Struthio camelus: one gene and its partners. The protein of the gene in region 1 interacts with the protein of each later gene in a pairwise test. Links are inferred from orthologs where the notes say so. Each region holds a gene or a part of one and is shown in the gene's direction. Other genes may lie near its edges.

The links.
Region 2: the proteins of USP2 (region 1) and LHX4 interact in binary tests that used the Homo sapiens proteins (3 or more experiments, as listed by UniProt). The two-hybrid records come from large-scale screens. The link is inferred for Struthio camelus from reciprocal best matches to the Homo sapiens genes USP2 and LHX4.
Region 3: the proteins of USP2 (region 1) and DTX3 interact in binary tests that used the Homo sapiens proteins (3 or more experiments, as listed by UniProt). The link is inferred for Struthio camelus from reciprocal best matches to the Homo sapiens genes USP2 and DTX3.

Annotation. Positions count from the first base shown.
Region 1 is NC_090963.1:3,219,534-3,226,968, reverse strand, and holds the start of USP2 (ubiquitin carboxyl-terminal hydrolase 2), read left to right. Parts: upstream 1-4,422; 5' UTR 4,423-4,535; intron 4,536-5,131; 5' UTR 5,132-5,320; intron 5,321-5,920; exon of another isoform or gene 5,921-5,984; intron 5,985-6,620; 5' UTR 6,621-6,661; coding exon 6,662-7,378; intron 7,379-7,435. UniProt on the Homo sapiens protein: Hydrolase that deubiquitinates polyubiquitinated target proteins such as MDM2, MDM4 and CCND1. Isoform 1 and isoform 4 possess both ubiquitin-specific peptidase and isopeptidase activities.
Region 2 is NC_090949.1:6,654,085-6,661,491, forward strand, and holds the start of LHX4 (LIM/homeobox protein Lhx4), read left to right. Parts: upstream 1-4,312; coding exon 4,313-4,449; intron 4,450-4,482; coding exon 4,483-4,497; intron 4,498-4,643; coding exon 4,644-4,750; intron 4,751-7,407. Other genes in the region: QSOX1 (sulfhydryl oxidase 1), read left to right, coding at 106-953. UniProt on the Homo sapiens protein: May play a critical role in the development of respiratory control mechanisms and in the normal growth and maturation of the lung. Binds preferentially to methylated DNA.
Region 3 is NC_090969.1:2,297,048-2,305,461, reverse strand, and holds the start of DTX3 (probable E3 ubiquitin-protein ligase DTX3), read left to right. Parts: upstream 1-4,995; 5' UTR 4,996-5,089; intron 5,090-6,298; 5' UTR 6,299-6,360; coding exon 6,361-6,373; intron 6,374-6,806; coding exon 6,807-7,489; intron 7,490-7,951; coding exon 7,952-8,169; intron 8,170-8,393; coding exon 8,394-8,414. Other genes in the region: PIP4K2C (phosphatidylinositol 5-phosphate 4-kinase type-2 gamma), read left to right, coding at 1,315-1,412, 1,543-1,639, 1,718-1,858, 1,938-2,084, 2,339-2,377, 2,717-2,830, 3,007-3,256, 3,362-3,465 and 1 more. UniProt on the Homo sapiens protein: Regulator of Notch signaling, a signaling pathway involved in cell-cell communications that regulates a broad spectrum of cell-fate determinations.

The DNA of each region.
Region 1 (7,435 bases):
CATCCACCATTTGCTCTCCCTGGGGACCAGTCCTTAGCTGTGACGAGAGAATTGCTGCCAGCACCAGCTTGCAGTGGAGGCGAGCAGACCTTCTCCGAGCTAGCGGCGGCCTGGCCCTCGCTCCCCGCAGAGGCCGACGGCGCTGCCTGCGCCCGGGCTGCCCTGCCCCGAGGTCCTGGGGCTGCGCCAGGCCAGGCGGGTGGCATGGAGGGGGCTCCCCTGAGGGACCCCGACCCCCAGGTCTCCGCGGGGAGCTGGTCCTCTACCCTTCTCTGCATGTCTCCCCATCCTGCCTGAGGGGACCGTAGGAAACGGCTGAAGGTCCTAATCCCTCCTCCGTGCACACATCCCCGGCCTGGCCCCGGGCTCCCTCAGGGGAGGCTCAGCAGCCTTCCTCCAGGGCAGTCTTCCTCCGGGGTCCAGCCACGCCAGGCGCTGCGAGAAGCCCACGTGCCCCCTCCCTTCTCCGCCCCCCGCTCCCTCCCTCTCCTTGGGCATTTCCCCTGTGCCCACTGAAGAGCAGAAAAGGGCTTAAGGGCAGCCCAGCTTTTGGCCACCGCTTGAGCGAGGCCAGGACGTTCCCGAGAGCGGGGCAGGGAGAGGAGAGCAGCCCTGGGCCCGGCGATGCGGAGGGACAGCGCGGTGGCACCCTCGCGCAGCAGAGGGACGGGTCCCGGGGCAGAGGGAGGTGCGGGCGCCCGGAGCTGGGGTCGGGCAGCGTGAGCCCCGGCCCCCGGCCACCTTTCCCTGCGGCCCAGGCCACGCCGACATAGCGGAGAGCAATTCACAGTGGCTGGCGATCGCTCCTGGCTTTGCCCTGGGCACGGCGAGCTGCCCCCTTGCCCGGTCCCCGGTCCCCTGCCTGCTTGCTTGCCGCGTGGTGCCGCCGGGCTCGCTGGTGAGCGCCGCGGCAGGCGCCGAGCCCAGCCCACAGCGCGCCGGTGCATCTCCAGGCTCATTTCTTCTGTGAGCATCTGTAGTTGTTCCCACAGCTTGTCCTAAAAGACACTTTGTTAAAGGGCAGGGGGTGGAGTGGGGAGGGGGGGGAAAGAGAAACCCCTACCAGAAGCAACAACAAGAAAACCCATCCTTCAAGAGTTTCCCTCTGTCTGCACAATAAAACCCTAGGTCGTGTGCCGGAGCCGCGTGTCTGTGGGGTGCAGGGAGGGAGGGAAGGGGCAGCTCGTGCTCGCAGGCGGGGGGCGGGTTGGGGGGGGGGTCCTGGCCCCGGGACCTCCACAGCCCAAACCCCGTGGGCAAGAAGTGGGGTCAGCACCAGCCTTGCCTCCCCCGGGGAGGGCGACCTGCCCGCAGCGGGGCCCCCAGCGCCCTGGTCCGGGCTCCGGGCCCCATTGTGAGCTCGGGGCCGGGGCTCCGGCGCTCAGCGCCGCCGGGACACGGGCGAAGCGGGGTAGGTCCGGCTGGGCACCCCGGGGCTGCGTCATCCTCCCGGGCCGGGTCCGAGGGGGCCTCTCCATCCCGTCCGCCCAGGGCTGCAAAGCAGGGTGGGGGCCAGCCCTCGGGGCACGTCCTCCGGGGAGGGAACGGCTGGCGCCGAGGCCGCCGGCGCGCGTGGGAGGGCGGCGGGGCGTGCACGCGCGTCCCAGAGGTGCCGGCCCCGGGGCGGCGCGCGCGTCACGCCAGGGTCCCCCACCTGCGTGCCTGCTGACGCGCTCTGCCCACGGTGCCTGGCACCCTCCGAAGGAGCCGGGCAGCAGCGGCGTAGCGCTCCCCGCTCCGGGTCGAGGTGCTGCCCGGTTGGGCCGAGAAACACGCTTGGGAAATACAGTTTGGGAGCAGGGCCCTGCCACCAGCCCCTAGTACGGCCGGGGAGCCCGTAGCAGCCTCCCGGCGTCATGCCCCGGCCCCGACGCTTCCCTGGGGCGGCCAGGAGGGAGGAACACGCCAGCGTGATTGCATCCCGCCTCATCATCCGCAGCAGGTGCTCACTGAGTCACCCCGGCCCACCGGGGTGCGGGCGCGTGGGGCGCCCCACGCCGCCCTGGGCACGCCGGGCTTGGGGCGCAGGGCCAGGGCCAGGTGCCCCCCCCACCGCCGGGTCCCCCCGCTCCCGCCTTTACTGTGGGCCTGGGGGAGGCTCTTCTCCCCACTGCTTGCCCCAAGAGGAGCAAAACCCAGAACATCTCCTCCCATCACCTTGCTGCTCTGCTCCAGACCCCCCCCCGGCAGCCAGGGGCACCCCTCTTCCTTCTCTGCCCCTCCTTTCTCCCCTGGAGCTCCCCTCCCTCCCCAAACCTCTCCCCACACTCACCCCCAGGCGTCCTGCCCCGTTTCTGCAGCCCTCCTCGCCCCTGCCCCAGCTCCCCTCTTGGCCTCCCCTGCTAGCAGCCCCTTGCCGTGGGCCACCAGCCCCCCCGGGCTCACGTCCCCTTTAAGCCTTCCCGAAGCTGGAATGCGAGAGGAGCATTTCGGCGCCCTGTGAGGTCAGATAAAGACACTATATTTATCTAGCCGGTAACCTGAGCCGTGAATTTCTGCCGTGGCGTTTTTACGCGGCCTCGCGGCCCTCCGGCACAGCCCCCTCGGGCCACTTCGCCCAGCGCCTGGAGGGTGGAGGAGCCGAGCTGCGGGGCGGCCCGTCCGCCTGCAAACAGGTCGGGCGCTGCCGGCCCCCTCTGCATCGCTTGCTCTGCTCCGGCCCCAGAGGAAGCGCCCGGGGAGGCAGGATCGGCTCCCCCCGCCGAGCCCCGCGGGCCGTACCCCACGACCGGCCGCTTGCCCGCAGCCATGCCGGCACAGCCCCCGTGAGCAGCCGCTGGCCGTCCGCCCAGCCGACCCACGCGCAGGTGAGCCACGGGACCGCCGCGGGGACGCCAGCCCCGGCATCTGCCCCGGGGCCGGGGCCGCACGACAAGGTGGGAGGGGAGGCTGCAAAATCGCCGGGAGGACTTGGCAAAACTCTGCCCCCCTACCTCTGGTTGGGTAAAACCGCGGGGAGAGGTTGCCGACTGCTTCGCCTCCGGAGGGCTGGCCGGGTTCAGAGTTCACGCGTGAAAACCCGGCAGCTCTCTGCCCCCCGGCACCCTCTTCATCGCCGAGGGCTGGCGGAGCCGGGCGCTCGGGACACCTCCCTGGGGTCCCTTCTTTTTTTCCACCCGCAGACCTCAAAGCAATAACGTGTGCTGGGTCTTACGTCAGGGTTCCCCGTGGGCTTGGGGTTTTACTGCCTGGGGGGGTGGCCCAGCAGGAGGGATGAGCAGCAGGTTTTGCAGCCAGGTGGGTATGCGTCAGCGGCACAGCGCGAATCCCGGCCAATGACTCCCAGCCAGCACGTGAAACGAGCTGGCAGGTTCTCAGGCCCTGTGCCTGCTAGGGGATGCCTTTGCTGCAGGAAGGGCCTTGGCTGGGCTCATCCCCGGCAGCACCCGTGACCCTGTCGGGTGCCTTAGCCTTGGGGGCGAGCGCCAGCGGCACGGGGGAGCTCCGCAGCCGCGGTGGCACCCGTGCGCTGGACGCCGGGGCTGGAGCAGGGCTGCCGGCAGCGCCCCAGGGCTCTGAGGTCTCTTTATCTGCTGCCGAAGGGCTTCGCGCGGGTGACGCAGGCCTCTCGCGGGAGCAAACCCGCTGGAGCACATTGCAGCCGGGGCTGCTCGGGGCTACCCTTCCCCGCGGGAAACGCAGCTGTGCCTGGCCTCATCCCCCTGGGGAACGGGCCGGGGGCTGCCCTGACCCCTACGGCACCATCGGGACGTGCATGTGGGGCCCCTCCACCCCAAGCCACGCAGGGCCGTCCCCTCTGCCCCCGCCGTCCCAGAGATTGCTCCCCGAGTAACCTCCAGGCTGGGACATCGTGTCTCGGGGGGGCAGACACAGCTCCAAGCCTGCGTAAGCGAGGAGCAGCTGTGCTGTAACCCCTTGGACCCAGCCGGGGCTGTGTAAGCTGAGCCTGCCCGGGTCCTTCACGGGCCGCGGAGGGGTCACGGCCTTGGCCAGGGCCAGGGGCTCGAGGTCCTGGGTGGAGGACAGTGGCTGGGGAGGGCGCAGGGTGTCCGGGCAGCATCCTTCCCCGCTCCTCTGCCTCCGGGGTGAAGGCTTTGCCCCGATGTTATCCCAGCCTGGAGTTTTCCCGTTGCTGCCGTCCCTCGGGAAGGCCGGCCAGAGCTGGAGGCTGGCGCCGGAGGCTGGGGGAGGCTTCCCCAGCAGGGAGAGCAGCCCCTGCGGCGCCCGGACTCCTGGGCCCCGCTGTGCCGCCCGGCCGTGTGATGACGGACCGGACGTTCCTGTGCCTCAGCTTCGCCGGACGCCCAAGGAGGATAATGAGGGTGCGGGAGGCCTGAGTCAGCGGTGCCGGCCCCGGGGCTGTGCCAGGCGGGAGGAAAGCTCAGCGTTATTGTGGGCAGGGAGGGGCCACGCGGGCCAGGAAGCAATGGGAGGAACCGGGGTTTTCTCACACCCCCTCAGCTCCTCCGGCTCATGGCACGCTCCCCGTCTCCGGCAGCCCTGGCGCCCGGCACGGCGTGAGGCGGGCACCGCGCGGGGCAGGCGGTCGTGGTAGACGGCGGCGGTCCCACACGGTAAGATCGCTCCCGTCCTATAACGCCGACGGGTTTAGCACCCGCACGCGGGCGCCGTTCCCGCTGCCGGCCCCACACCCCGCCGCGGGCTTGCCCCCCGGTCTGCTGCCCCGTCCCGCTGCCAGAAAGCACCTGCCGCGCTGGGCGCCGGGGCGAGCGTCTCTCCCGGCGGCTGGGTACCCGGGCGAGGCGCTGCCGGCGGTGGCGGGGGCACGACGGGTCTCAGAGCAGCCAGCCAGGCTGGGTGGCGGGGGTAGGACAGGCTGCTGCGGGCAGGGCTGTGCCGGCACCCAGGCGTCCGTCCCGAGCCCGGGGCCGTGGCGCCTCGGCCGGGCGCACCGGGAGCGGGGCGGCGCGCGGAGCCTCTCGGTGCTCGGCTGCTCCCTGCCCCGGCCAGGAGGGTTTTGGGGGAGCCGAGGGCGCCGTGTCCCTCCCAGCGCAGTTCCCCACTGCGCGTACCGAATCCCAGCTGGCAAAGCAGCTCCTGGGCCCTCCCAGCGCTGGCAAGGGCGGCCAGGGCCTGGCAGGGAAGCGCCGGGTGTTTCGCCGGAGTATTTGCCTGGAAGCGGATTATTCACCCCTCCGTTCCCAAACAGGTCTGTGCGCTCCAGCTTGCTCTTGCTTGCGAGCAGTTTCCTCTCCGCTGTGGGACAGCAATAACAACAGCAACCGGGACGCGGCCGGCCGGCCACAAAGCTGGGCTGGCGGCCAGGAGGCCACGGCGGCCGGACCGCGCTCCTCACCACAGTTTGCTAAAGCACCGCCGGGGCCACCTCCGCGCCGGGGTGAGCAGGGACGGGGGGGGGGGCCCACGGGAGCTGAGGGCCGCAGCCCCCTCCGCGGGCGCCCGGCCGCGAGGCGCAGCGCAGCCCTCCCCGCCGCCGACTCCGGTTTCACGCGGATCGGTTTCACCCGGCCGCCAGTGGAAAATGCAGGGCACGCGCTCCCCGTGCCCAGGGCAGGGGCAGGCACCCTGGGGCGGCACCCACGGGGGGTCCCGTCGGGGTAAGGGCTGCAGCCAGCGCTTGCCTGGGGTCTCCGGGGGTCTCACCCTGGGCAGGACGCCGGGGTCCCTCCCAGGCTCGGGCAGGGAGTGGTTTTGCGGCGGCTCCTTCCCTTGCACCAGGCGCGCGGTGCCGGTCCCCACGGCTGGCTGCGCCCCGCGGGCCGCCGGGGGCTGCGAGAGGGCCGGGCAGGGCAAGGCAGGGCAGGGTGCCCGGCTCCGTCCCCCCCCAGGGCGGCTGACGCTTGGAGCGGGGCCAGCCCGGGCCAGAGCCCGCCCAGGCTGGGCTGGGAAAAACGCTCTGAATCAGGGTCATCTCCCTGGTGACTGGAGACTCTCCGAGCCGCAGGAGCCACCGTCCTGCCAGGGACGGGACGCCGGGTACCCGGGGGAGCCCGGCTGGGGCTGCCTGCCCGCCCCGGTGCCAGCCCCAGCCCCCGGGACAGGTAGGGGACCCGCCACCTGCCCCTGCCCCGAGAGCATCGGTGCCGGAGCCATCGGCTCCGGACAGCCCTCGTTGGCGGGCTGGGGGGTTGTCCCCGGCCGGCCGTGCGCCCTGGCGCCCGGGGCAGCCCCAGGGGAGCTTGCTGCCCCCCTGCCTCGTGGGGCTGCGAGCAGGGGCAGGCGGAGCCCCTCTTTCCCCCATCCCGGGGCGGGGGGCTTCCCCACCAGCCCCCCCTCTCCCCCTGCTCTACCCCTCCGTGTTTGCAGAGCTCGGGGCTGGCTCCCAGTTCGCTGCAGGCTCCTGCATGCCTACCTGCCCCCGCTTTGCCCCTCTCCTGCCGGCTGGGGAGAAGCCGGCGGGTGCTGCGGGGTCCGAGCTGGGCTGCCACCCACCCTTAGGGGCTGCCCGGCTGGCGGGGGCCACGGCAGCTGCCTGGCCACGAGGGTTCGCCTCGGCCCGAGGTGTCGAAGGGAGGCAGGCGGCAGGGCCGCGGGGCGGGCTGCCGGGCCCCCGGCGCGGGGGGCGTCCAGGGGCCGGGGAGGGCCGCGGGCGGGGGGCGAGCGAGGACCGCCGTGACCGTGGCCCGGGAGCTGCCTGCCGTTTGCAGGAGGTAGCGGGGACACCTCTTCTCTTGCAGTCGATGCCTCCAGCGGCGCCTGCTGAGCCCCAGCCTGCAGCATGTCCCAGCTCTCCTCCACCCTGAAGCGGTACGTCGACGCGTCCCGCTACGCCGAGACCACCTACGGCAAGGTGCCCGCCGCTTACAGCTCCTACTCCTCCTCCTATGGCTCCACCTTGGCCACGTCCTACGCCGACAGGGACAAAATCGGCTTCAAAACCAGCCCCTCCGCCAGCTACCTGGCCTCCCCCCGCTACCACCACGCGGGGCTGTCCCCCACCAGCGGCTACGACGCCGGCCGCCTTGCCCTGTACCCCGACTCCGGCGTCCGCCTGAGCCCCGCGTACATCCGCAGCCAGCCCCGGCCGCCCGGCGGCGGGGGGCTGAGCGGCGGCGCGTGCTATGCCTTGGCGGGGCCCCCTGGCAGCCCCCCGGGCTACGCGCCCGCCCCGGCGCCCCTCAGCCGCCGGAAATCCACCAGCCACTCGGACCTGGCGCGGGAGTTTTCGGGGCTGCACGCCTCGGACAGCGGCTACGCGCCCACCCACGGCCCGCCGGCCGCCCGCACCCGCCAGGAGCTCTGCACCCTCTACCAGGCGGCCGTGCGCTCCGACTACGTCCACGACTACCTGGAGACCTACGGGAGGAAAAGCGGCCGTGGCGGCCTCCCCGCCGACTCGCACAGCCCCGCCGTGCCTTCCTCGGCCGCCCGCTACGCCGGCCAGCCCTGCGAGAGGAGCGACGGCTACTGCAGCACGCCTGCCTGGGACCCCACGGTACGTGCTGCTTGTCGGGAGCAGGGGGGCGAAGCCGGGGGGTTTCGGGCTACGCGG
Region 2 (7,407 bases), on another chromosome or scaffold:
ATCCCAGGGCTTTGCTGGTGCTGGGGCAGGGGAGGCCCCTCTGCAGGAGGGAGGGCTGCTGGGAGGAGCCTCTCCAGCCCCCTTTGCTGGATCCCGTTCCTCCAGGTAGCGACACGGAGGACCCCAAGTTCCCCAAGCTGCAGTGGCCTCCGCCGGACATGTGTCCCCTGTGCCACAAGGAGGACAGCGGGGTGCACGCGTGGGACGAGCCGGCCGTGCTGCGCTTCCTCAAGGCTCACTTCTCCCCAGCCAACATCTACCCGGACTACACCGAGTCCGGCGCGGACCTCCTGGCCAGGGAGAGCCGGGAGATGGGAGCGGCGGCAGACGCCAGGCTCAGTACCGACAGGCCAGGGGAGAGAGACAGAGGGGTGGAGAGGGAAAAGGAGGAGGAGGAGGAGGAGGAAGAGGAAGAAAAAGAAGCGGAGAAGCCGAAGGGGGACGGCGCGGAAGGGGAGATGGGAGCCCCGGAGCGGCCGGGCTCCTCCGAGCTGCGCAGGCCCAGCATCGTGCGGATGAACCCCAAGCCGCGGGAGACGGAGGAAGACATCGTGGACCTGGACTCCTTCAGCGAGCAGCACTTCAAGAGCAAGGCGCTGCGGGCGGCGGCGGCCGGCAGGCGACGGCGACTCACCAAGAGGGACACCATCCCCCTGCACCTGGCGCCCGGCGGCCCCCAGGACTTCGACTACGCGGCGGGCTGGGAGCGCCCGCGGAAGCGGGACCTGGGCTCGTGGCGGCAGGGGGGCGACCCGGGCGAGGAAGAGGAGGCCGGCGCCGGCTTGCGAAGGAGCCAGTGGTTCCGCGTGCTGGGTCTCGGCTTCTCCCGCGTGGACATCAGCCTGTGCATCGTGCTCTACTTCCTCTCCTCCATGTGCCTGCTGGGCATGTACACCTTCTTCCGCCTCCGCATGCGCTCCCGCAAGGGCCGCCCGGGCTTCCCCATGGCCTGAGCCGGAGCGGGGCGCCGGGGGCATGGCGGGGGGCGAGGGGTTCTCCTCCCCGGCCCGGCGCCTGCTCGGCTCGCAGGTGGGACGGCGTTGAGGCCAGTTTTGTAGCGGAAGGGGAAAGGTTTTGCTGCTTCCTCGCCAGGAGCTGCCCCGCTTGCGGCAGCCGCGTCTTCCGAGGCCCCCGGGTTTGGGAACCAGCTCAGCTCACCCTGGCGGGAGGGCGAATTTGGGGGTGGGCGGGGGGGGGAGGTATCAGAAGAGCAGCGCCTCGGCTTGGCGCGCCGCGTTTGGGGGCACCCCGCTCGCTGGGCGCGGCATCGCCGGCGGGGGCCGGGGTCTCCCCACCGAGCAGCCTGCGGAGCTCCTCGGCGCTGGGCTGGTCTCAAAGCGGGCGGAAGCTCGGGCCGGCGCGGCCGAGCAGCCCTTTGGGGTTAAACCACTAGCAGCGTTGGGGGCGCTTGGGAGGCTGCGGGGTGGGCCGGCCGGCCTCTGCGCTTCGCTTTCCCCGCGGCGGAGGGTGGCGGCAGCCCGCAAGGGGGGAAACCGTCCCCGCGCGCTCCCGGCTCGCTCCCTCGAAGGCCGAATCCTCCAGAGACGACCCGGGAGTGGCTTTGGGTGTTATCCCCTGCACCCTCCCGGGCAGGTGATGGAAAAGCCGTCGGTTTGGGCCGTGGTCAGCAGCGTGTTTCGTTTTCGTGCGGTAGCGGAATAAATTATTTTTGCCAACATCACTTCGGCTGTGGTGGCTCGTCCCTGCCGCGCGCTGTCCCGTCCCCTACGCGCGTCCCCGCCTGCCGCGGCGGGTGCCCGGCCCCCTTCCTCCCTGCCCTTTTATCCTTGTTACGAATCATTAAGGAAAATGGTTGTTTTGCAGAGCCGGGGCCGGGGCCATCTGCTCGCCCGGCGCTGCCTAAATCCCCCTGTAACAAATTCATTGGGATTACGCTGCCCTGCCCTAATCCCAGCCCTTCCCCCCAGCACGGGGGATTTAAAAAGGATTAGAGCCCGGCTGATAATAAACTTTATTAGGGGGGAGCAAGGGGAGGGGGGGGTCAATCCGATTTGGAGCCTTTTTCTTGATATCTTCACTTTGCCCAGGTGGGAGGAGAGGTGCCCTTAGCCGAGCCTTCGGCCGGCGGCTCCCGCCTGCGGGGCCGAGACCTGCCGGCAGCCGGCGGGCGGCCAGGCGCAGCCCGCGGGTGTGACGAGCGCGGGAGGTCTCTGCCGCTAGCGGAGCCCTGCTCGCCCGCCGGGCCGACGAGGGGGGTCTGAGCCCTTCCTTGGCCCGGCGGGGGAAACGGAGCGCCCGCGGCTAATTACCTAAATGGCCGCAGGCTGTTGAGAGACGCTCGCTATTCCCTAATAGCATTTGCCCTCGAGTGCAATTTAATTTTCTCCGAGGCCGGGCTGCAGCCCCCCCCCCCCACCCCCCCGCCCCGGGCGGGCGCCGGCCAGCGCTGCCTCCCGCCTCCCTCTTTCTTTCCCCTCTCGGCACGGGCGAGAGCATCTCTCCCCGGGCGCGCGGGGCGCCGCGGCTTCGGCGCCCGTCGGGCGACTGCTGCAAGGCGAGGGCCGGCGCCGGGGCGAGACCGTGTCTTGCGCCTCCGGTAAGCAGGGGAGTTGCCCCGTGTGGGAGTCGGTCGGTGCCGCTGCGGTGCCGACGGCGGGGTGGGCAGCGAAGGGCGGGCGGGCGTCCCCCTGCGAAAGGCTGGGGCGGGGGGGAAGCGGGGGGACAGCGAGGGTTTGGCGGCCTCCTGCACCCGGCGGGCTCGGGCGATCCTCCGCGGTCCCCGTCAGCGCCTTTGGCCGCGCAGGGCGAGACGCCAGGCTGAGACCTGGCAAACTCACTCCATGGGAGCCGCCATATTGCCGGCGTGGGCCGCCTGTCCAGAGCCCCAACGCCGCCCCGGGCCAGGGTGGGTTTTTGCTTGCAAACCCCTCCCTTCTGGCAAAGCAAAACCCGTGGGCAGCCGAAAAGTACAACAGCCAGAAAAAAGGAGACAAAGAAATTGGGGGGGGGGGAGATGCAAACGCCGGGGGAGCCGTGGCGAGCCGGGGAGCAGGACCGTCCTCGTCCTCGGTATCCAGCGGAAACCCCTCTTCCAGCGGTCGTTGCCGCGGGGCTCGGCTCCGCCGCGGCGAGCGATGCGGCCGGGGACGCGGGGGTCGGCCCCGACCTAGCACAGCGGAGAGACGAGTGAGGAGGGGGCTTCCCCGCGGAGCGGGGCGACGGGGCCGAGGCCGGCCGCGTCCCGGCCGTGCCGCGGGGAGCTGCTTTCCGGGCGAGACCGCCACCAGGCCCCGGCTGAAAGCCCGGGGAGACGTGTTAGTGCCGCGGGACTCACTCCTGTCATGAGTGCGCGCTGGTCTCTGCCCGAGCCGGGAGAGGTGCTGGCTGGGGTTTCGCTGGCAGAACGGGGCTTTGGGGTTAAAAGCCACCGGTTCGTTGAAAATGGTTTCTTGTTGAAACCGTCAGGCTTAATAAATGTCTCAGGTTGGGTTTAAAAAAAAAAAAAAAAAAAGACTTTTTTTGAAGTTGCTGAGAGCCCTCTTCGCCTTGCCGGAGGCCCCGTTTCAGGGCTTTCTGGTGGGAACCGCCTCTATTTGTTCATTTTGGCGCGGGAGCGAAGGCCGAAGCGCGCCGAAACGCCGTCAGGCTGCTCCGGCGCATCGGAGCCCCTTCCCCTGCCCCTCGGCGGTCAGTTTGTGAAACCATGAACCTGCTGAAACCGTGCGGTTCCCGACCTGCCCCGCCGCCGCCGGGCAGGAGGGCCGGCTCAGCCTTCGCGGGGCCGCTCCGCGCGCCCCCCCGGACCCCCGCGCCGCCGGCAGAGCCCCGCAGCCGCCCGCCCGCGTCCTGCCCGGCGCAGCCGTGGGGCAGACGCCCCCACGGGTTCCTCCTCCGCGCCGCTCCTGCCAGCCCGCTGCGCACCTCGCTTTCAGCTTACTGGCTTCTTTTTCCTTATTATTACTATTATTTTATTATTACTGTTGTTTTGAGCTCTGGGAGCAGGTTTGTCCTCGGGGAGCGGGCTCAGCCCCGGGTGCGGGATTTCAGGGCCGCCGCCGCCGCGCCTCGGGCCGTGCGCTCCCCGCAGCCCCTGTCGCGACAGCGCCTGTCGCGACAGCACCCTGCTCCCCCGCCCCGCCCCGCCCCCTTTTCTAGCCGCTGGGGGCGGGGCACCCGAAGATGCCACGCCCCTTCCCCGCAGGCCCCGCCCACTCGCCGGCTGCAAGCCCCGCCCCCGCCACGCTCCGGCGGCGCCCCGAGGCGCGGGCTGCCGGGGATTGGCTGCGGGGGGCGGCTCGCCCCGCCCCCCCCTGCGGGGCCGGTGACGTCAGGCGCGCTCCCCGCAGTGTGAATGAATCAAAGGCGGGCGGGCGGCTCGGCACGGCTCGGCACGGCTCGGCACGGCACGGCACGGCTCGGCACGGCACGGCACGGCTCGGCACGGCTCGGCACGGCTCGGCACGGCTCGGCACTGCCCGGCCCGGCCCGGCCCGGCTCAGCTCAGCGCTCGGGCGGGCAGAGCTGCGGCATCCCGGCCGCCGGGGCAGCCTGCGGGGCTGCGGGGCCGCCCGCCGCCCTTCCCTCGCCCCTGGGCTGGCTTCGGCCCCCGTGTGCGGAGGGGCGAGGAAAAGAGCCGGCTCCCTCGATTTTATTTCATTTGATTTGGTTTGATTTGATTTGATTCTCTTCTCCCCCCCACCCCGGTGCAATAAAATGATGCAAAGCTCAGCGCTGGCTGCCGAAGGGGCTGTCAAGGGGCTTCCAGAGATTCTTGGTGTGCCGATGCAACGTAAGGACGCTTTTCTCTTTTCCCCTCCTTCGGCTAATAATAAAGGAAACCGGGAGCCGCGGCGGAGCCGGGAAGGGCGGCGAGCGGCGAAAGCGGGGAGTGCGGGGCGGGCTGGGCCGGGGGCTGCTGGGCCCGGGCTTTGCCTGCGTGTGCTTTGGCCTTGGCTTTATTTTTTATTTTTTCCCCCCCTCTCCCCATGTCTAGCAGCGTTAGCAGACGTGAAGATAGGAGCGAGCGGTGGGGAGAGCAGCGCCCCGGGCAGCGCGGGGGGACGCGGCTGCGGGTGCCGGGGGGGGGCAGCCCCGCGGCGCGGTGACGGCCGGGCTCCCCCAGCCCCGACGGAGCGGTCGGCGTGTGTGTGTGTGTGTCTGTGTGTGTGTGTGTGTGTGCACGGCGCTGCGTGTGCAGGGCTGTGCGCAGGGGCAGCGGTGCCCCCCACCCGCCGCCGCGCGCCCCGAGCCCCGCTATGTCGTGTATCGCGATATGCGGAGCCTCGCACGCAGCGGGGCCGGGAAGGCGCCCGCGTGCGTGTGTGTGCGCGTTGCCTGCGTGGAGGGCCCGCTCCGCTCCCGCGCAGCACGTGTGTTAATATAGCTGTGTCTATACATACCAAAAAAGCATAGTGTAACGGATCACGTATAATCTATACAGATACGAGCAGCCTCTCCGTATGGAGACGCACGCGCGGGTGCGCTCTGCGTGGGTGTATCCATACATGTGCGAAGACACATGTATGCGTAGAGCACACGGACACGCACCCGCGCAGGATACACGCGCTGAGACACGGTGCGTGGGGGGTCCCTGATCGGGAGCCCGAGCCTCCCCCCCGGCTTTGGAGCCGGTGCCCGGGGCTCTCCGGCTCCCCCCGGCCCTGGGCGGCTTTAATTCGTTTTCGGTCTTTTTTAATTTTTGTTTTTTCCCAAGGACTCAAGCCGGTGCCACCCGCCTGCGCCAGCCCCGGCCCTGCCGCGGCGGCGAGCCGCTGCCCCCCGGTCCTCGCGTTCGTTCTTCCCTTGGCTGTATTTTCCCGGATTTACCCTTTTTTCGTTTCTGCTCTCTGCCCTAGATGGGTAAACACGCTTCTGAAACGGTATTTCTCTGCAGTAGAGAGGAGAGAAATTCCCCAACAGGGAAAGCGAGCCGAGCCGGGCAGGAGCACAGCCCGTGCCACCGCAGGGGCCGCAGAGGTCTGTCCCGCAGCCGACTCCGCGCCTTCCCTCCCGTCCCCTAATAAGACCTCGTGTGCAGAGCCGCAGAGTTACTTTTATGCCCCTGAAGCCTCATCGGCTCGACAAGAAATTAGGTGCCTAAGTCACCTCGGAGCAGCAACCACCCAGCAAAACTGCCATTTGCCCCCCCCCCCCCCCGAGTGCCAGCAGACTCTTCCCCATGACACTGCCATTTCCATAGGAACTGGTGCATTTCAGGGAGGAAATAACCGGCTTTTAAAAATTATTATTTATTTATTTAAGCACCAAAAAATACTGGCATAAACAAAATATGTGATGGGGGATGCTATGAAAGTTTTCCTTGCTGCCTATTTGGGAAAAGCTGTGTAATCCCCTTGCTGCTCCAGCACCCAGAGCCGTGCGGCCGCCGCACGCTTAGGGCCGTCAGTTCGCTATGGGAGGACGTGCTTCGGGCCCGATCCTGCACGGGTTGCACACGCGCACGGTGCCCCTGTGGCAGAGGGGGGGCTGCCCCCGGGCAGGGAAAGCCAGGGGAAATCCAGCTGCGCCAGCTGTGCCGGGGGCTGCTTTCCAGCAGCACCTCACGCCTGCAGCCCTGGGAGGTTAGCGAGCCCCTGCTATCCGAAATGCAGAAACAGCTCGAAGGCCTCTGCCTCGTGGCTGGGCGGCGAGTGAGGCTGCGCGTCCCTCCGCAGCCCGGGGTGCGTGGCCAGGGTCTGGGTCGCAGAGGCCGGGACGAAGGGCCGCGACGGCCGAGGGCTCGCTCGCTTTTGTTGTGATCCCCCTGCGCAGCGCTGGTGTGTGCGAGGGGAGAAAAACAGTTGGCATTTTTATTTCTAACGGCTATTAAATTGCAGGTTGCTCTCTGAGTTTAAACCACTGTTGAGCCTCCTTAACTTAGCGGGCACTGGGTCTTGTAGCATCAAGCTCGCCAAGAGGAGGGGAGCTGTGCCTGGGGAGCTGCCCCGCGATGAAGCTAGCTACAGCCCTGCTTTGGAGATATTATTAATAGTATTAATTATTATTACGGTTTTGCAAATCTTAGTTATGCAAAACTTCTGCCAAAGCCTGTGGGAACTGTGCCCGGGTATAGACAGCAGGAGCAACCTCTGTCCAAAGGTCTGGGGCGGGGGTGGGGGGGGGTTGATTAATTGGCACTGGGAAAGTCGTTTGCGTGCTGCGATGCAGCGAAACGGATTGGAGGTTTTTTCGCTTGTGAAGGAATGATCTTCTCCTCTTCCCCCCGAGCCGTTAGAGGAGCCCCTTGGCTGGTGCTTTTTGTCAGATCGCGCGTTTATGACAGCAGATTTCGGTGTGCGTGAGGGAAACAAAAGCGCTCCGGCCGCGCTGCGCTTGTGTGACACAGGAGTGTGTGCGTGGGTTTACGGAAAGCGTGCAGAAAGCAGGCGTGAGCCCGCTGCAGCGGCGCGGCGTGGGAGCGAGCGCGGCGGCGCAGCCGGGGCCGGC
Region 3 (8,414 bases), on another chromosome or scaffold:
CCACGGGACCCCCCCCCCCCCCACCGGGGCCGCCGCCATCGCGGGGCTCCTTCCCGGGGCATCGCCGGGACGGGAGCGGGGCCCCCCGGGGCACCGCTGCGACCCGTCCCCGGCGCCTCTTCCTCCCCCCAGGACCGGACCGGGCCCCGCCACGGGGAAGGACCGGGAGCCCCTTTCCCCGGGACCTCGCCGCCGTTGTGGGACACCCCTGTGCTCCCCGGCAGGGACCCCAGACATCCCCCTCATGGGGTCCCCCATCCCCCGTAGGGACCACAGGCAACCCCTGTGGGGACCCTCCCTCCCCACCCCCGGTAGGGTCCCCGGACACCCCCTATGGGATCCCCCATCCCCCGTAGGGACCCCAGACACCCCTGCCGTGGGACCCCCCCATCCCCCGTAGGGACCCCAGACACCCCTGCCGTGGGACCCCCCCCATCCCCCGTAGGGACCCCAGACACCCCTGCCGTGGGACCCCCCCCATCCCCCGTAGGGACCCCAGACACCCCTGCCGTGGGACCCCCCCCATCCCCCGTAGGGACCCCAGACACCCCTGCCGTGGGCCCCCTCCCCCATTGCCTTTAGGGACCCCCAGACACCCTTGCTGTGGGACTGCCCCCCATCTCCTGTAGGGACCCCAGGCACCCCCCTATAGGAGCCCCCCAATCCCCTGTAGGGAGCCTAGGCACCCCCAACCATGGAGCCCCCCCATCCACCATAGGGACCCCAGACACCCCCCCGGGACCCCACCCCCATCCCCTGTAGGGACCCCAGACACCCTCCTATAGGACCCCCCAATCCCCTGTAGGGGCCCCGGGACCTTCTCCCCTGGGGGTCTGGGGTCCAGCACCTGCCAGTTGGGGGGATGACACTGATGTGGGAAGCCCCCTCACGCTGCCCCGGGGGGCTGTGCCCCCCAGCAGCACTGACGGCTCCCCCCATCCCCCCCCCCAATTTGTCCCCGTAGCAGCCCCCGGACTGGCAACGCAGTGCCCCCCTGGACAGCCCCGGAGGAGGTGGGTGGCCCCTGGGCCCCATCGCATGGCGTGTGCCCCCCCCCCCCACCATGCCGCTTGCTGCCCCCCGGTAACGGCGCTAACCCCCGGCCACCTGCGGCCGCCACTCATTAACCCGCTCGTTAATCCAAGCGCCTGCCCGAGCTGCCCCCCGGCCCCAGCTTGCCACGTCCATGCGGCGGGCGCCGGTGCCCACCCGCTGGGAGGACTGGGGTCCTTGCTGGGGGCTCCTCGGCGGGGTCACGGAGGGTGGCCCTGCGCAGCGGGGGGGACCGGCGTCACCCGTCCCGCTGCCCCGCAGATCGGCGAGCTCAGCCAGGTCCCGCTGCCCGTCATGCTCCTGCCCGACGACTTTAAGGCCAGCTCCAAAATCAAAGTCAACAACCACCTCTTCAACCGGTGAGCACGGCCGGGTGGCAGCTCCGCGGTGGTCCCGAACGGGGCCAGGAGACCTTCCGGAAAGGGGGGACGAAGCCCCCGGCTGCCCTGAGGAGCTCCTTGTCCTCATGCTGGTGACCTCCACCCGCAGGGAGAACCTGCCCAGTCATTTCAAGTTCAAGGAGTACTGTCCCCAGGTCTTCCGCAACCTCCGGGAGCGCTTCGGCATCGACGACCAGGACTACCAGGTGGGTCCACGGTGCGGTGGTGGCGTTCGGGGCCGCGCCGGCGTCGCCCCGGCCCTGCCTGACGCCCGTCCTGCCCAGGTCTCGCTGACGCGGAGCCCGCCCCACTCTGAGGGCAGCGACCGGCGGTTCCTGCTGTCCTACGACCGCACGTTGGTGGTGAAGGAGCTGTCGAGCGAGGACGTGGCCGACGTCCACAGCCTCCTGTCCCACTACCACCAGGTACGGGGGCGCGGTGGCCGGGCAGCGAGGAACGCCAGGGTCACCCGAGGGCCCTGATGGCACCCACGTCTCCCCGCAGTACATCGTGAAGTGTCACGGGACCACGCTGCTGCCCCGGTTCCTGGGCATGTACCGGGTGAGCGTGGACAGTGAGGAGACCTACCTGCTCGTCATGAGGAACATGTTCAGCCACCGGCTCTCCGTGCACAGGAAGTACGACCTCAAGGTAACGGGGCGCCCACCCCATCGCCCCAGCCTTGCTGTCCTGCCACGGGGGCCCCCCCTAAAGCTGCTAGAGGCTTGGAGCTGAGACAGAGCCCCCAAATCAGCCCGTGTCCTTGGGTCATCCATGCCTCCTGCTTCTCCATGCTCTCCATCCCTGGGTGGATTTAACCAACTCTGTTGTCCCCTCCTTTGTCCCCTCTGCCAGGAGCGCTGATTTTTCCCCCCAGCCTAACACAGCTTCTGCTTTTCCTCCAGGGCTCCCTTGTGTCCCGTGAAGCCAGCGACAAGGAGAAGGTACCACGGCACAGTGACGTGGGCAGGATGGTGCTGGGAGCCTCCAGCCTGGGGAGGGGGAACCGGGGCAGTCCCAGGCTCGTTATCAGCCTGTCCCCAGCCTCCACTTAACGATGAGGCTGCAGCTGTGGAGGGAGAGCTGATCCCTGCAACCTCCTGAGGAACCGTGGAGGCAAGGTGCCACCACGCTCGTCCCCAGGGAGTCCCTGTTATCCGTGAGCCTCCAGGGTCCCCCATCAGGGCGGGGAGGACCCCACTGGTTTCTTGGAGTGGGGAGGGGGCTCCCCACAGCCATAGTGGGACCGCAGGGGCCCGTCCCACATGTTCGTCTCGCCACAGGGCAAAGACTTGCCCACACTGAAGGACATGGACTTCCTGAACAAGAACGAGAAGGTCTACGTGGGCGAGGAGGACAAGAAGGACTTCATGGAGAAGCTCAAGAGAGATGTGGAGGTGGGTGAGGGGGCTCCAGGCCAGAGCCGTGGTGCCCGGACAGGGGCTGGGTGTTTGGGGAGGGGGTGGCCACCTCTCACTAGGGCAGTCACGAGGGTTGGTACCCCCCTCCCAAAAACCGGCTGCCGGCCAGGGGTTCTCCATGTCCCTTCCTGTGATCTCCCCCGTGTCGCCAGTTCCTGGTGCAGCTGAAGATCATGGACTACAGCCTGCTGCTGGGCATCCACGACGTGGCGCGGGCAGAGCAGGAGGAGGAAGAGGAGGTGGAAGAGGAGGAAGGCGGGGGCGACGAGGCGGGGGCCGCCATCGTGGGCTCCTACGGCACCTCCCCGGAGGGCATCGGCAGCTACCTCAACTCCCACCGGCCGCTGGGCCCCGGCGAGTTCGACCCCTATGTGGACGTCTACGCTATCCGGAGCGCCGAGGGTGAGCGGGGCATTGGGTGCTTGGGGGGGGGGGGGGGGCAGGCCGAAGAGGTGGGTGTGGGGCTCACCCACCCCTCTCCTCGCCTGCTTCCCCCTCCCACCCCAGGTGGCCCCCGCAAGGAGGTGTACTTCATGGGGCTCATCGACGTCCTCACGCAGTACGACGCCCGCAAGAAGGCCGCCCACGCTGCCAAGACCGTCAAGCACGGGGTGAGCCCGAGGAAGAGGATGGCCTCCTTTTTTTTTGGGGGGGGGGGGGCCCTTGGAGGGTCTGGGGAGGTTTGGGGCAGGGTCTGACCCCCCCCCCCCCCCAATATCCTGTGCTCTCCCGCAGGCGGGGGCTGAGATCTCCACGGTGCATCCCGAACAGTACGCCAAGCGCTTCCTCGACTTCATCACCAACATCTTCGCGTAGATGGGGGGGGGCCCGGGGCTGAGCTGGCCCCCCCCCCGACCTTCGCCCCAGGCACGGTGCCCCCCACCCCGCCTGCGAGCGGGGCAGCTCCTCCCCCCCACCGTTGGTGCCCGGTGGAGGTGGGGGGCTGCTATTCAAGTGCCTTATTTTACCGTGGGGTGGGGTGGGGGGGTCCAGCCCTGCCCTATGCAATAAGCTGGGGGCTGCCCCCCACACATGGGGCTGCATTGCTTCTACCTCCCCCCATGCTCGGGGGGGGGGCAATTGAACACTACTTGCCCTGGGGCTAGTGGGGTGTCTCCTCCTGTGGGGGGGTAGGAGGTTCCTCCACCCCCCCAAAAAGGGCTGTTCCTTTGGGGGGGGTGTCCCTGTGTTTCACTGACAGTCCTGGGGGTGTCCCGGGAGTAGCCCCCCCCTTCCCCCATTATGGGTCTGGTCTGGGGGGGGAGGATGGCGAGCCTGTGGGCCCCCCCGCCCCCAGTAGGAGTGGGGCTGGGGGAGGCATGGCCCTCTCCCTGTTACAAGTGGGGTCACAGTGTGGGGTTGCCCCCCCCCCCGTTATCAGCGGGGTCCTGGGACCTGTTCCTGCCCCCCCCCCACACCACACACACTGCACGGGGGACCCTGCCGTGCTGGGGGGGTAATGGGGGGGGGGCTGCTCTCCAGCACTGTATCCTAAGAAATAAATTATTGAACCAGCCCAGGCTCTGCCCCTGTTACCGGGACCCCCCCCCCTCCTTCTCCAGGCTCTGCCCCCGTTACCGGGACCCCCCCCCTTCCCTAGGCTGTGTCCCGTTACTGGGACCCCCTCCTCATTATGAGGATGCCCCCCTTTCTCTGGCTCTGCCCCCATTACTGGAACCCCCCCCCTTTCCCTCAGCTGTGTCCTGTTACCAGGACCCCCCCCCCTTCCCCAGGCTGTGTCCTGTTATTGGGACCCCCCCCCCCAACAGCCAGGCTCTATCTCGGTACTGAGCCCCCCCCACCTTACCAACGTGCTGCACCCCATTACCGGGACTCCCAGTTCGCTCCCCTCCCCCGCCCCTCCGTGCCCGGTTACCGGGACCCCGATACCCGTGCCCCCCCCCCCGTTGCCATGATGCTCCGTTGCCATGGCGACGGGCGCCGAGCGGGACCTGTCCCGCCCCGCTGCGTCCGCCGGTACCAGGCCGCGCCCCGCCCCTTCTCCCCCCCCCGCACACCGCCCAGCGCCGTCGCCATGGGCCCCGCCCTCGTTGCCATGGCGGCGGCGCCCCGCCCCGCGCGCCCACGTGATGTGCGGCGGCTCCGCGAAGAGCCTCCCCCCCCCCAACCCTTTCCCCCCCCCCACCCCCCCCCTCCCGGCCGCCGCCAGCCGCCGCCGCCGCCGCACCGCTCCGGGCCGCGCCGCCCCCGCCATGCTCCGGCCTCCCGGCTATGGTGGGTCCGCCGCGGGGGGGGCCCCGTCCTGCCCCCCCCCTCCCTCCCTCCCCTCGGGAACGGGCAGGGCCCGGCCCAGCTTCATTTCCTTCCCGGTAACGGGTAGGGCCGGGCCCAGCCTCTCCCCCCCCCCCCACCGGCGTCGTTGTCGTCGCTGTCCCCGGGTCCGGCCGGGCCCCCCCCCCCCCAGCATGACACCCCCTCCCCGGGGCTTGGTTAGGCCTGGCTTCTCCCCCTCCCACCCCTAATTTCCGGGCCCTATCTTATTCCTCCCCCCCCGCCCCATCTTGCCCCCCTCACCCCCATCCTGCCCCCCCCAAGGCCTCACCTTGCCCCCCCCATTTACTTCCCCCTCATACCCTTCCTTTCCCCCCTCCCCCGGGGCCCCGTCCTGCCCCCCCATCCTGTCCCTCCTCATCTCTTCCCCCTCCCTTCCCCTGGCCCAGCCTGACCCCCCCCTTGCCCACCCCCCCCGACCTGTCCTGTCCCAGCTCGGCCCCATCTCACCCCCCTTGTCGCCATCCCGTCCCCCCCCCCATATCTCTCCCCATCCTGCCCCCCCTCCGGCTCCTGTCCTGTCCCCTGGCTGTGTCCCCCCCCCCCGGTGATCCCTGTCCCCTGCATGCCACCTCCCCTGGCAGTGCTGGGGGGTGACCCCCATAACTGGGGGGGGGGGGCTACAGCCTCTCTACGGCCCCCCCCAGCAGTGGGGCCCCTGGGCGGGGGGGAATAGGGGCAGGTGAACAACCCCTTTCCCCCCCCCCCATCCTGGGGTCCTCCAGGGGTTTGGTGCCCCCCCCACCCCATCGAGCAGTGGGGTCTGGAGAGCGGGGGGCACCGAGGAGGCCGTACCTGGCCCCCCCAGCCCCTCTGTTCCCGGGGGTGGCGCTGTGCTGGGCCCGGCGTTTCGGGCTGTTTGTTGTTGTAGGGTCTCCTGGGGACACCGCGGGGGTGGGGGGCGTAGGATGGATTACGCTGCCGTGGTTGTTGTTGTAGGGTCTCCTGATGGGGATTAGCACCTGGGGGGGGGATATTTTCTCTTTAGGGGGTTCAGTGGGGCTGGGAGTTGGGGGGGCAGAGCAGTGTCCCCCATACCCCCCTCGGGGGAGGGGGCAGCGAGCCCTTCCGGGGGGCCCACATGCTGGGGGGTGGGACTTGGGGACAAGATCCAGGGGAGGGGGGCACAGTGTGACCCTGTGTCCCTCCCAGTCCGTGGCTCGTGGCTCCGCTGATCACGGCTCTGCTGGTGTTTCGGGCTCGTGCTGTCCCCCATGGGCTCACCAGGTGGGTGCTGCTGCCCCCCCCTTTGGGCCCTGGGACCCCCCCCCCCACCTTGGGCAGGGCAAGAACCTGGACTCCTGGGTGCTCCTGCGGGCTGGGCACGAGGGTGCCCCCAGACCCCAACCCCCTGCCCCTTCCTGCGACATCCCCTCAGCTTGCGGGTCCTTGAGAGGCCTCGGTGCCACCTAGGTGGCACCTGGGACATGTCCCATCCCATCCCATCCCATCCCCCCTGGGGAGGGTCCAGCGGGGGGTACCACAGGGCTGGGGGCACCCGGTGCCTGTTGAGGAAGCATCACGGTCTGGGAGGAGGCCTATGGAGGGACACCATAAGGAAGGAGCAGGCTGGGGACATCGTGCGGGAGGGGGCTGTGGCACCTCGCGGTGAACCCCACGCCCGACAGGCTCTGACACCATGGGCCTGGGCCCCCCCCAGTGTCGTTTGTCCTGTCCAGGATGGCGGCGTGCGGGGGGGCCACTAAGAACAAGTTGACGGTGTCCAAGCGGGTGTGGGACTTCTTGACCAAGGAGAGCCCGGCCAAGCTGGCCCGGCTCAAGGAGGAGACCAAGGTGAGCATCCTGGTGGACGGCGAGACCTCCGACATCTACGTGCTTCAGCTCTGCACGCCCGTCCCGGGCACCGCCAACGGCCTCTACCTGGCCCGCAAGGCCCTCAAGGCCCTGCTCAAGGAGACGGAGAAGGAGCTGAAGAAGGCCCAGCGCCACGGGGAGGTGGTGGGCTGCGTGGCCCTGCTGGACAAGAGCGGGCCCGGGCTTGGGGCCCGGGGACCGGCGGGCGGCGGGGGGCGCGCCGGCGGGGCGCCGGGGTGCTCGCGGGACGAGGAACCCGACCGGCAGTGTCCCATCTGCCTGGGCGAGATCCAGAACATGAAGACGCTGGAGAAGTGCCGACACTCGTTCTGCGAGGATTGCATCACGCGGGCGCTCCAGGTGAAGACCGCTTGCCCCATGTGCGGGCGCTTCTACGGGCAGCTGGTGGGCAACCAGCCCCAGAACGGGCGCATGCTGGTCACCAAGGACTCCAGCCTCCTGCTCCCCGGCTACGAGAAGTTCGGCACCATCATCATCCAGTACGTCTTCCCACCCGGCGTCCAAGGGGTAAGACAGCGCGTGCCCCCTCACCCCGCGTCGGCTGGGCACCGGGCACCCCGGGCTGGCGAGGTGTCCCCTGTGCCCCCAGCAATGGGGGCATCCCAAGTTGGTAGGGTGTCACCTGTCCTGTTCTGTGGCCGTGGTGCTACTGGGCATCCCCAAAGCTTGCTGGGCACCTCCACCTGGTTCTGCACCGCTGCCGCTTGGGCACCCTAGTCTGGTTGTGCGTCCCCAAAAGCGGCTGCGTGCCCTGGCACCCAGCTACGCCAACCCATCTGGGTGCCCCTGACGCCAGATGTTCACCTTTGGTCACGCTGCGACTTTGGGGGGTGTCCCCGACCCTGCTCTGGTGCCACGGAGCTAAGCCCAGCCTGGCCAAGCACCCTTGGGTGTAACCCCAATCCCTCTGGGTGCCCCCCTGGGGGCACCCCCGCGCCTGACGCCCCGTGTCGGCCCGACGCCTCGCAGGTGGAGCACCCCAACCCGGGCGTGCGGTACCCGGGCACCACGCGGGTGGCCTACCTGCCCGACTGCCCCGAGGGCAACAAGGTGCTGGGGCTGTTCCGCAAAGCCTTCGACCAGCGCCTCACCTTCACCGTGGGCACCTCCATGACCACCGGCCGCGCCAACGTCATCACGTGGAACGACATCCACCACAAGACCAACTGCACCGGCGGACCCCAGCTGTACGGCACGTGGGCCCCGGGGGGGGGGGTTGGGGGGCACAACCGAGTTGGGGGGGAGCACCCCGGGGATGGGGTTGGGGTGCGGGGTGGAGGAAGGGCTTGATGGGGTTTCTCCCCTGGTGGGATGCTGCTACGATGTGGTGGTGGGGAGGGGGCACCCAATTCTGGGGGGGGGGGGGGGCAGGCGAGGGTGCGCGGCTGACCTGTGCCCCCTGCGCCCGCAGGTTCGGGTACCCCGACCCCAC